3 linked regions of the Canis lupus familiaris genome follow. The protein of the gene in region 3 interacts with the protein of the main gene of each other region in a pairwise test. Links are inferred from orthologs where the notes say so. Each region holds a gene or a part of one and is shown on either strand. Other genes may lie near its edges. The genes, in order: RNF26, RNF111 and UBE2W.

Region 1 (4,332 bases), on a different chromosome or scaffold from region 3:
TGCCACCAGCTCCCTCACAGACCACAGTGACTCCAGCAGGACTGAAGGACCCGGCTGCACATCAGTTAGGGTGCACTTACTGCTGACCAACTGCTCAGCCCTGTTAGGATGCACACAGAGGCCATCAGAGCTGTCAACAGAAATTTATTCACCAGAAACATGGCCAGACAGACCCATCAGGGAGCTGCATACCCCTAGGCTGGCCCCTTCTGTATTTGGACCCTAGTGAAATAAATGTGTACAGTCTGCTTCTCCCCGATGTCAGGGAGAGACAGAGGGGAAATACTATTGTTCTCTGTGATGTGGGAATGAAAGGGGTAGGAGTGGAAATCTGGTATCCCTCCTGAGGCTCCCAGTGGTGCTGGGGTGCCAGAGGGTAATGTGGTCCCAAAGCCAGGTGCAGACACCCATCTCACCCCAAGGGGTAAACTCTTGATCCTAGCTGTTGGATCTGGTTGGGAGGGAGTCTCATAAGATCAAGATGGACAGAAATGGTAACTCTCAAGGCACCTGAGAGATACTATCCCCTAGGCCTACCAGTGCACACAGGTGCTCCGAGTGAAAGCAAAGGTTCAAGTTCATTTCAAGGCCCTTGAGTTACCAAAACATCCAAATGACAGTGATGTGTTGTGGCTGCTGAAGCTGGGGAGGGAATGGGGAAGAGTCAGGGAGAGGACTTGCAAATCCTCAACAGAAAAACCAGAAGTAGAGGGGGAGCCCCAGAGATTGGCATCTGGATGGGCCCCGGCAAGCTGGAGGGGAGTCCCCAACAGCCTCGGGGCCTTGCATAGTGACACACTCACCACCTCCGGCATCACCGGGACGCACTGGGTAAGGAGAAGCTGTTACCCTGCCCCACCCAGCTCATAGTCTTCCAGAGTATCCTATCTCAATGTCCTGGAGATATGGCCTGGAGGCTTGGCATGACAGCCATGGGGGCAGGAGGGGATACAGGCCAGGAACCAGGAGGTCAGGTGTTAAAGCTGTCCTAGCGCAGGTGGCTTCATGGAGCATGAAAAAGTGGGCTGGCAGGGAAGGAGTCTTCAGAGGTAGACATTGAGGGTCTGCAGAATGCCCCGGCGGCAGAGTGGGCAGTTGCGGTGGTAGACGGGGTGACGCATCAGGATCTCAGTGCAAGCCTGGCACAGGCACAGGTGCCGGCAGGGCAGAAGCAGCACCGTCTTGCTCTGGTCCTGGCAGATGACACACTTTTTCCGCTCCTCTTGCTCCTTGAGCAACTTCCACGGGTCTTGCCCAGCTACAGACTCCTCCTCGTTGAGCCTCTCCCGGCCACGGGCAGCTGTTGCTCTGGCCATCCTGACCTCTTCCTCCTCTTCTGCCTCTGATCTGGGCCCTGCTTCAGGAAGAGTGTCCTGTCGCCAGGTCCTGGCTGGGGGCACCCTCCTAGGGCCACCCTGAGGGGCCCCAGGCGCCCCTCCCCGGTTTGGCCAGGTGGCCAGCTGCAGGCTGCGGCTCCAGACTCGACGCCAGGCCTCCAAGTCCAGGGCTAGGCGAGACAGCCGCACGACATCCTCTCGGAGCCGGTGATAAGATGGCCGGGCATGGAGCTGACTGAGTGCCCGGGTGGCCAGTCTCAGGGTGAGGTCCGGGTGCAACACGGTCACCATCACTGCCAGCACGCAAGCCAGCAGCACCAGGCCGGTGACATTGACGAGCACGAAGTTGGTCAGGAGGCGGGCAGCTGACGCTAGGAGCTCCAGTGCTAGCTGGCAGGGGGTCCAGAGGAGGATGGCCATGGCCACGGCACTGCTGGAAATGTGGGCTAGGAAGGCAGCTACAACGTCCGTCATCCTCCACAGCGGCCCCATCACTGCATCCCACAGGGCCAGCATTAGGGAGAAAAGGTTCTGAGTGCCTATGAGGCAGATGTTGACCAGGCTGTTGATCACATAGGCCACGAGGCTCATGGCAATGGCACAGATGTCACAGGCCTGGCGCAGCAAAGCATGACCACTGGAGACCACATTGAGCACCCCCCGGTGCAGGATCTCCCGGCTCCTCAGTGCCCCGTGAGAGGCCAGGTGCCCCAGGAGCTTTAAGCTCTCCAGGCCAGAGTAGCAGCTGTACAGCAAAGTACACAAGGCCTGCAAGCCCCCAAAGGTGAAACGGACCAAGGCTTCGATCAAGGCCAGCAACGAAAGCAGGACTCCGCGGCCCAAGTGCAAAAGACTAGTCAGTACCGTGTGTGGCAGGTTGTAGATGAAGGCCAGCAGCCAGGCCAGGGAAGCCAGGAGGGAGGACACCAGCAGGAAGTTGAGGTCCAACACCAAGGTCAGCAGGTCCAGCACAAGGCCCACCCCATTCACTATCAGGTACACAGCCTCCATGATAGGGCTGTGGAGGTTAATCCGAAAGGAAAGCTGGCTCCAGGTTGAGGGCGGGTGTCAAGGCTGCTAATGTTTGGGGGCGTCAGGGGTCAATCTGGAAGGGAAGTGAGCAGTCTCCAAGCCAGAGAGAAGCAAGAATCTGAGCAAGAAACGGGTGAGAGCGAGGTGGAGTCTCAGTGGAGGGAAAAGGGGGCCAGACGCCGGTCCAGGAGTCCCGGTTTGGACGCCAGGCTGTCTGGGAGGGAAGAAGCCAAACATCTCTAAAGTGGAGGTGAGCCCGGGCCGGAGGAGGGAGCTCAGCTTTGGAGGCCAGGTGGCGGCGAACCACGGCCGGGCAGTGGGTCAGACCGAGAGGAGACCGGGAACGGATGGTGTCGGGCCGGGGCCGGGTGGGGGCGGCGCAGGCTGGGCGCGGGCTCGCGGTCCAGCTACGCAGGTACCCCTGTCCCCGCCCGGCCCCCGTCCTCTGGGCTCGCGACTCTTTGCGTCCAAAGGGGTCGTGGGAAAGGGAGTCAGCCTCAGCAAACCCCAAGCGCGGCCTCTACTCCGCTGGGCGCCGCCATCTTGTGTGCGAAGGGGCGGGGCAAAAAGCGTGATAGGGAGGGCGGGACGACGAGCTCCGACCAATCGTTGAGGAGCAGCCGCAGGAAACCTCGAGCATTCATTGGGCCGTTTGAACGGCGCCCGAACGTATTTACTCTCCAAGGGGAAGGGCGGAGACAGATTGAAATCCCCGCCCCCTTGAGGCAGCGATTGGTCAGTTGAAGGGCAGAAGCGGACTAGGCCCTCCTCCTAGCCCCGCCCCCTAGCAAAGCAGGATTTGTTTGTTTGCACTGGGACCGGATACCTGTGCTGTTCTTGCTACTGGTCCCCGGGTCGTGAACCTTTTAGGTGAGAGTTGAAGGTTACTCTCTCTCTGAGCTGGGCTCTCGAATGACCGCCTCCACACCCTGCTCAGACTCGCGGCCTCGCCCTCCACTACTCATTCATTCATTCATTCATTCAGTCGCGTTTATCGAGCTCCGGCAAATAGAATGGAGACCCAAACACCAAAAATGTTTCAGGGTGTGCCTGCCCCCAAGCCGCTGCCAAGGGGAAACACGTTGTTACAGGGGATTCCCAAGCTGCTATTCCAAACTGTTTCCTCCAGCGTCATCAGCTTTTCTCAGCATCTTCAGGAGATTATCTCATTATGACAAGGAGGCCACAGACCAGAAATAGCTCACCCTCCTACACTAGCCCCTATTAATTTGTTTACTTGAGCATTCTAGTTAGATATGTACACCTGAGCGGCTCCAGGTTCCTCAATAAGTTATCCTTTCCTTTAATATTCCAAATGTATTTGAGACCCCATCCCAAATCTGTTGGGAAATCTGGTGTTCTCTAGTAATGCCAAGGATACTTGGGAGTCTTATCCTTCCCTCGGGTCACCATTGCTTTAATTTCCTGCTTATGTGAATGTTTTGTCCTCCCCCAGGCTTGGACACCTAAAAAACGTTTGTCCGGATTCACTCACCCAACCCCAAACACTGCCTGAATCCCTCTCTCCCCACAGCCCCCCTAATAGCAAGCTGAGTAGGGCAGCAAGCCTAAGTGGAGGTCCCACCAGGGGTCATAGCATGGTGCAGAGCAAGGGCTGCAGTTCCTAAAACTCCACTGGTTTTGCCCCAGCCTCTTTCTCACACCTGTCAGGCCCCAACTTAATGTTTTCTGATGGGTTTTCCCTTTCTCTTTCCTCTTCCCCTTCCTCTTCCTTGTCCTCATCCTCTTGGGATTTCCCCTCCCTTTTTCTAGCCCATCAGACTCCAACTTCCTATTTTGCTTTTTGATTTTACAGCATAGTCTGTCTCTACTCCCAACCCAATCTCAGCTCTAACCACAAAATGCTGATCTCTCTAACCAAGGGAGAATAACATAAAGATTTGTGTTATTGGGACGCCTGGGTGGCTCATCGATTGACATCTGCCTTCAGCTCAGGACCTGA
Region 2 (3,648 bases), on a different chromosome or scaffold from region 3:
ACAACCATGGGGAAGAGAAGCTATATGTATATATTTTTTATTTATTTGACAGAGTGTGCTTGCATACAAGTGCACAACCAGGGGGAGCTGCAGAGGGAGGAGGGAGAAGCAGACTGTCTGCTGAGCAGGGAGCCAAACACGGGGCTTGATCCCAGGACTGGGATCATGACCTGAGCTGAAGGCAGTTGCTCAACTGACTGAGCCACCCAGGTGCCCCGAAGAGAAGCTATATTTATACTAGTTAATTATTTTTAGCAATCTAATACAGTAACCATCTAGATGTACAAAAAATATTTAATTACTACTTTCAGGATACTGGGAGAAAAAGTGTCTAGTCAAAGTCTTTTGAATTCTAGTCTTTTAATCTATTTTTACTATAATAGGTTTTAAAGAAATTGTTAGGTTTTAACCAAATATGTTGCTGGAGATAGGAAGATTATACAGCAAGGTAAGTCTTTGGTTAATAGAAGTTTTCAAGTAGGCTTATGTTCAGGTAGGTTTGTGATCTTCACTTCTAAAAGTTGGGTATGTGGTAGAGGTATCAGAGAAAAATATTGTAAAAGAACAGTAAAATTACTTATTGTAGCCATTTTATATCTTGGTATATCAGGAAAAGGTATGCTATTAGTGTTCTCAGTGGAATCTGAAACTCTTCAGTTAATAATAAAACACATTAACTTTCTTTTAAATCTCTAATTATGTCTTCTAGGCCTTCCTTAAAGTTTCCCATGTCTCAATGGACTCCTGAATATAACAAGCTCTATACCTTAAAAGTGGATATGAAGAGTGAGATTCCTTCTGATGCGCAAAAGACACAGGAGAGTCTGAAAGGGATCCTCTTGCATCCAGAGCCCATTGGGGCAGCCAAAAGTTTTCCTGCGGGAGTTGAGATGATTAACAGTAAAGTGGGAAATGAATTCTCTCATTTGTGTGATGATTCTCAAAAACAAGAGAAGGACATGAATGGTAACCAACAAGAGCAAGAAAAAAGTGTTGTTGTGAGGAAAAAACGCAAAAGCCAGCAGGCTGGCCCTTCTTACATGCAAAATTGTGTTAAAGAGAACCAGGGAATATTAGGATTGAGGCAACATCTAGAAACACCAAGCGATGAAGATAATGATTCCTCTTTTAGTGACTGTCTTTCTTCTCCTTCATCTAGTCTGCATTTTGGAGATTCTGATACTGTGACTTCGGATGAGGATAAAGAAGTCTCTGTAAGACATTCCCAGGCAATTTTGAGCGCTAAAGGTAGAACTCATAGTGCACGGTCCCAGAAGTGGCCTCGGACAGAGACAGAATCTGTTTCAGGATTGTTAATGAAAAGACCCTGTTTTCATAGCAGTTCATTAAGGAGACTTCCATGCAGAAAGAGATTTGTAAAAAATAATTCCTCACAGAGGACACAGAAACAAAAAGAGAGAATATTGATGCAGAGAAAAAAAAGAGAAGTGTTAGCCCGAAGAAAATATGCATTGCTCCCCAGTTCTAGTAGTTCCAGTGAGAATGACCTCAGCAGCGAATCCTCTTCCAGCTCATCAACTGAAGGTGAAGAAGATTTGTTTGTTTCTACCAGTGAAAACCACCAAAACAATCCAACTGTTCCCTCAGGTAAAGATGTTTCTTAAGTTGAGCAAAACATGAAAGCATTGTGTTTGTGCTTAATTTTCTTCTACATTTTAGTGATTTTATTGCTTTTAGAAGGAATATGAGGTTCAATTTACTTTTATTTTTAAGCCATATGAACAAATTACCAACTGTAGAATCAAACCATGACTCCAATTCTAAGATCCAGATTTTTGTATTTTATACTTTTTTGGATAGCTCTGTGATGGATATCTTTCACATTCTACGAGAGTAAAAACACTAAAAAAAAATTACTTAATATTGTTTTTCCTTTAAGTACGCTATTTTTTTTTAAAAGATTTATTTATTTATTCATGAGAGGCAAAGACACAGGGAGAGGGAGAAGCACACTTCATGCAGGGAGCCTGACATCGGTCGGACTCCTTCCCAGGTCTCCAGGATCACGCCCTGGGCTGAAGGTGGCACTAAACCGCTGAGCCACCCAGGCTGCCCTAAGTATTCTATTCTTATTGTTTACTAATTACCTTGTCATGATCTTTGTAATTGAAAAATAATTTCAAGTATTTAAGAGATGCCTTTATTCTAATACTAGAACTTTTAGTTTTGACAGTGCTCAGTAGAGCACATGATTGATCAGTTAAAATTGAATTGATAAGGATCAGTTTGAGTGCACTCTCCCCTCCTCACAGTAAATATTATATTTAGCTAGAATAAGATTATGTGCAGTCTCTGAAGTATAAGTATGTTACATATATTACCACTTTACATTTACAAATTTGCTGTAATTTAAAGGAAGTTGATGAAGTGAGCATTGAGGAGTAAAGTCTGAACTGAGGGAAAAGGTTAATTTCTTATGAAAGAATGGGGCATTAAGGAGAGCTTTTTCGAGGGCTACAATCATGGTTTTTAATACTGACACAAAGGTTTCCCAGTCTTTGCCTGATGTCCTGCTTGTGCCATTTTCCCCTCTTTCTTTTCTCCTTCTGTATAGGTTACTTCTTTTTCCAAGACTCCTTTCCTCTTTTTATTTTTCTATCTTTGCCAGAACTCCAAAACTATAACTTTGATCTTTAGTCTTAGCCATGATCAGTTCATTTTTTTTTTTTAACTTCCTCAAATATTTGTTTTAAAGAGTTCATTGAGAGCCCCCAAGGTTGGGAGGTGGTTACAACAGCCATTCTCTGAGGTTTCTTGAGATACAGGGAAGTGAGAATAGGAATTGTCTTGCTTAGTTGCCGCATTTCACATTTTCCTCAGGTGGTTAGAATGTGAAGACTTGTTTGGGGAAGAGGGAGCAGCAGAGCCCAATTTCTGCTTGAAATTAATGAGGCAGGATGGTTGGAGACGTGAAGCAGAAGTTCCAAGGAGCTGGTATTTGTAAGAGGCATGAGAATAGAGGTAATGTAGGTCAGTATCAGTGCCTGTTTCTAGGAAGAAAGGAGTTCATATACTCCCAAGTATTCAAGATAAATGCAAACTCTGTAATTCATTTTGAAATCTTATTTAATACTGTAGTATGTGGTTTTTGCTATCTTTCTTGGAAGAATTGCATTTTTTCAACTACATATAATATTTTGAGACACTTAAGAGTAATGTGTGTCTCTAGAAATACAAACCCAAATGTTAAAACAGATTCTTTTGATTTTTTTCTGGTTTTTAGACCAGTGTTCTGTTTTAAACTAATTTGTTTTTTTTAAAATAATGGTTTAAGAGTAACATTCACATAGTGTGCAGTTTTAAAAGTACCAAGAATGTTTAAAATTAAAAAAACGTTTCCCACTTCTTCTTAGGTCCCAGTTTTATTACCTAGAAGTAGTTAGTTTCTTCTCTCCTTCAGAAAATGTGGAACATATATAAGGGTAAATAAATAATGGGGGTTTAAAAACTACTAATGTGTGTAGTTATAGCCTCGTTTGAAAAAAATGGTTGCATAATATTTCCTTTGTATGGATGTTCCATAATTTATTTAGCCAGGTTTTGTTGATGGATGTTTGCTGCATTGAACTACCTTGTACACACAGTTTTGCACACCTAGGCAAGCATAAAGGCATAATTTCTAAAAGT
Region 3 (3,648 bases):
TTAAATTTGAGACATCTGGAGATACCCAAGTAGCTATATCCAACAAGGGTGTGAAATTAAACCTCAGAAAGAAGAGGCTGTACACAGAGCTGTAGATCTGGGAGGTAGCTGTTTAAGACAGATGAAGACTTTAGAGAAAAGAGTGAGAAGAATAAGGGACTACTGAATAAAGAACCCAGAGAACACCAAAATCAGAAGAATTAGAAAAAGTGGACAGAAGTCAAAACAGGGAAGGAAAAAAAAAAGAATTTAAGAAAGGATGACAGAATCCATTACGAACACTGTAACTTACAGAAATATTAAGAGATGAAATTCAGATGATGTGTCAAGAGTTCTATATCTGATTTAAAATTAAATACTGGGCAGCCCCGGTGGCTCAGCAGCTTAGCGCCACCTTCAGCCCAGGTGGTGTGATCCTGGAGTCCCAGAATCGAGTCCCACATTGGGCTCCCTGCATGGAGCCTGCTTCTCCCTCTGCCTGGGTCTCTGCCTCTCTCTCTCTGTGTCTCTCATGAATAAATAAATAAAATCTTTTTAAAAAATAAATTAAATTAAATACTAAGAGGATTAGAGGATACTTTTGACTTGGTTCATGTTTATAAAATATTATTTTCCTCTGATGAAAAATCTGTGGGCTCCCAGAGTAAGCCTTCTCCAGTATCTCCCTAAGTCAACAGTTTGGAGTTGGTGAGTCACATTCTTTCCTCACATACCTTCAACAAACTTAGTTGAAGTATAAAAACAGGCTGAAGGTGACAAGGGAATGCCTGCGACCCCACTGCCTTCAAGGATTAACAATCTTAAATGATGCTGATAAGCAAAAAGGCTATAAAACGTGAAGGTCATTTTCTAGAGAGATGATGTTTGTTTTGCTTTCTTATCAGTCTACACATGCTTACTATAAAGGCCTAGAGGTCATGATAACACATAACTCTTAGTTTTATTTTTAATTTTTATGAAAATGATAAAAATGAGCTTCCTAATCTTAGTTTCCTGCTCACACAAAAACTGAACTCAAGTCCATTTCCATTTAATTCTGTATCTTTATTTAAAAAATTATCTCTTTTATTTATAGCACAATCAATAACTGACTTCCATCTATATGCCTACATGGCCAAGGATATTGTTTATATTCTATTTAAAGTTGCAACGGATTATTTTTCTCAAAAAAAAAAAAGTATTTGAGCACTTCACAAGTTGAGTTTTAGATACTTGAGAAGTTTCATTATCCAGAACCTCATTATCTAGCAGTACCAGATAGAATTGGCATTAAGTCTCAACATTTTGCTGCCAGTAACTCATTTACCCATCTTACCAAGCCAGAAATCTGGAAGTCATCCTAGAATCTCCTTTTCTCTAACTCCCAAAGATTAATCATTCACCACAGTTAAACAGCTCCCAAAAAAGTTCCTCAACCACCATTATCCCTTGTCTGAGTATTAACCATTTACCTAAACTAACTGTGCCTCAAATTATAATGATCAGATTTGGGGCTTATGTTTAGATATTTAACATTTGGTAATATATTCTATCTTTACAGTACTAAAAGACTGTAAGTATAGCATGTCAATGCAAAATCAAAGAACTGTTCCTTTCAACAAAGCACCTGACTTATCACATGATCATTCTATCATCTTATCTAGGAATAAGTGCCTCCAGTTATTCCAAAATGCTATATTCTCCCACAACCCATAGGCCTGAGTTAGATTTTCCATCCCCTTTTCTGCTAACATTTATACATAAAAAACAATGTTAATTTCTTAAAGCACAAAAGTAGCAAACCCTAATCTCAATAAAGGAAAATGTTCATAAAGATCTTGATTATATTACAGATAAAGGAACAAATCTATTCATATAATTATAATGAATTTCTTTATAAATTTGTATTTAGTCAAAAGTCACTAATTTAGTATTTTGCTAAAATCTAAAAATACAATAAAATGTTAAAAACATGGCAGTTACCTGAGGAGAGTCAAAAGGATATCGACTACTAAACTTAAATAGAAGCTGAAATTTTTCCCCTTCATATAAGGTACCTGGTGCACCTTCCATGTCTACGATCCACCTAGAATAGGAAAAAAAACAAAAACAAAAAAACTTCAGATAAGAAGAATTGGGGTGAGAAAGAAAAGGGAAGACTGAAGACTTCCTTTAAGCCAGGCATTGGGATAGGAGTCATTCATGTGTAACAGTGCACTTCATTCTCCCAACAATTAGAGTTGGTATCAACACCCCTTGCCCTATATCCTTCTCTGACGCTCAAAGGTTAAGTAACTAGATCAAAGTCAGGCAACTAGCAAAGGACAGAGCCAAATTTTAATCCAGGTCTAAGAACACAAAATGAAAACCCTACTCAAGTGTGCTGACACCAAATCCTGCACTCTTGATACTCAATTTATGCTGTCTTATTTTTCCAAAACAGTATTTCCACAATGACTGAAAAGATTTTATATAGATAATATCAAACTAATGAACTGCCCATCTGATATCACTTTAAAAGCAATGGACGAAGTAGGTATCAAAAATGACTAGAGAATTTGTGGCTGTTAGATCTATCTTCTCGTCAGTGTTCTAGAGACCAAAGGAAAAAGCAGCTAAACTAACATTAGTCCACTTACTCTGATAGCTACTCAAGGCTCTATACTGTCTTTCCTTTGTCTGTTTCAGGTATTTAATGAAACTCAGAAGAGATTTCCATGGCCTCTTTACAAGCTTACTTTGTTTCCACATATAATAATCATGAATACAAATCTCTTTTTTTTTTTTTTTAAATTTTTATTTATTTATGATAGTCACACACAGAGAGAGAGAGAGAGAGGCAGAGACATACGCAGAGGGAGAAGCAGGCTCCATGCACCGGGAGCCCGACGTGGGATTCGATCCCGGGTCTCCAGGATCGCGCCCTGGGCCAAAGGCAGGCGCCAAACCGCTGCGCCACCCAGGGATCCCTACAAATCTCTTTTAAATTATAACCTGTACACTTATCTCTTGTTTATTTATTTAAAGTAAGCTCTACACCCAGCAAGGAGCTTGAACTCACAACCCCGAGATCAAGAGTCACATGCTCTATCAACTGAGCCAGCCAGGACCCCCTATCTCTTGCGCTTTAAAAAAAAAAAAAAAAGGAGGGGAAGGAGTCTTTTCTCCCTCTCCCTTTCCCTCTGCCCCTCCCCCTGCTTATGCTCTCTCTCTCTCTCTCTCTCTCTCTCGCAAATAAATAAATCTTAAAAATAAATGAAATAAATAAATTTCAAAAAAGGGAAACTGGGGTGCCTGGATGCCTCAGTCAGTTAAGCATCCAACTCTCCATTTCAGCTCAAGTCATGATCTCAGGGTCCTGAAATCAAGCCCCTCCAAACCTAGTGTGGAGCCTGTTTAAGATTCTCTCTCTTCCTCTGCTCCTTCCTACCACTCATGCACGCATTCTCTCTCTAAAAAATTAATTAAAAAAAAATAGATAAAATTTTAAAAAGGGGATAGGAGTAGAAAATGATTTTTTTAAAAGGATTAATGGTGGCAAAGATGATGGGGCCACACTGAGAAGCAAAAGTGGACCAACCATAAGAATGAGTTCCTAATTATAGCACTAGCCAATTCCTTTCCTCTTAAACTTTTTACGTATAGAAATTTATTACTTTAAGTATAGAG

Evidence for each region.
Region 1: the proteins of UBE2W (region 3) and RNF26 interact in a two-hybrid assay, tested with the Homo sapiens proteins (2 studies listed by BioGRID and IntAct). The link is inferred for Canis lupus familiaris from reciprocal best matches to the Homo sapiens genes UBE2W and RNF26.
Region 2: the proteins of UBE2W (region 3) and RNF111 interact in a two-hybrid assay, tested with the Homo sapiens proteins (2 studies listed by BioGRID and IntAct). The link is inferred for Canis lupus familiaris from reciprocal best matches to the Homo sapiens genes UBE2W and RNF111.

The regions. Positions count from the first base shown.
Region 1 is NC_049226.1:14,590,581-14,594,912, forward strand, and holds RNF26 (E3 ubiquitin-protein ligase RNF26), read right to left. Parts: upstream 2,936-4,332; 5' UTR 2,349-2,935; coding exon 1,044-2,348; 3' UTR 128-1,043; downstream 1-127. UniProt on the Homo sapiens protein: E3 ubiquitin-protein ligase that plays a key role in endosome organization by retaining vesicles in the perinuclear cloud.
Region 2 is NC_049251.1:24,295,984-24,299,631, forward strand, and holds part of RNF111 (E3 ubiquitin-protein ligase Arkadia), read left to right. Parts: intron 1-709; 5' UTR 710-728; coding exon 729-1,608; intron 1,609-3,648. UniProt on the Homo sapiens protein: E3 ubiquitin-protein ligase. Required for mesoderm patterning during embryonic development. Acts as an enhancer of the transcriptional responses of the SMAD2/SMAD3 effectors, which are activated downstream of BMP.
Region 3 is NC_049250.1:22,845,592-22,849,239, forward strand, and holds part of UBE2W (ubiquitin-conjugating enzyme E2 W), read right to left. Parts: intron 2,066-3,648; coding exon 1,963-2,065; intron 1-1,962. UniProt on the Homo sapiens protein: Accepts ubiquitin from the E1 complex and catalyzes its covalent attachment to other proteins.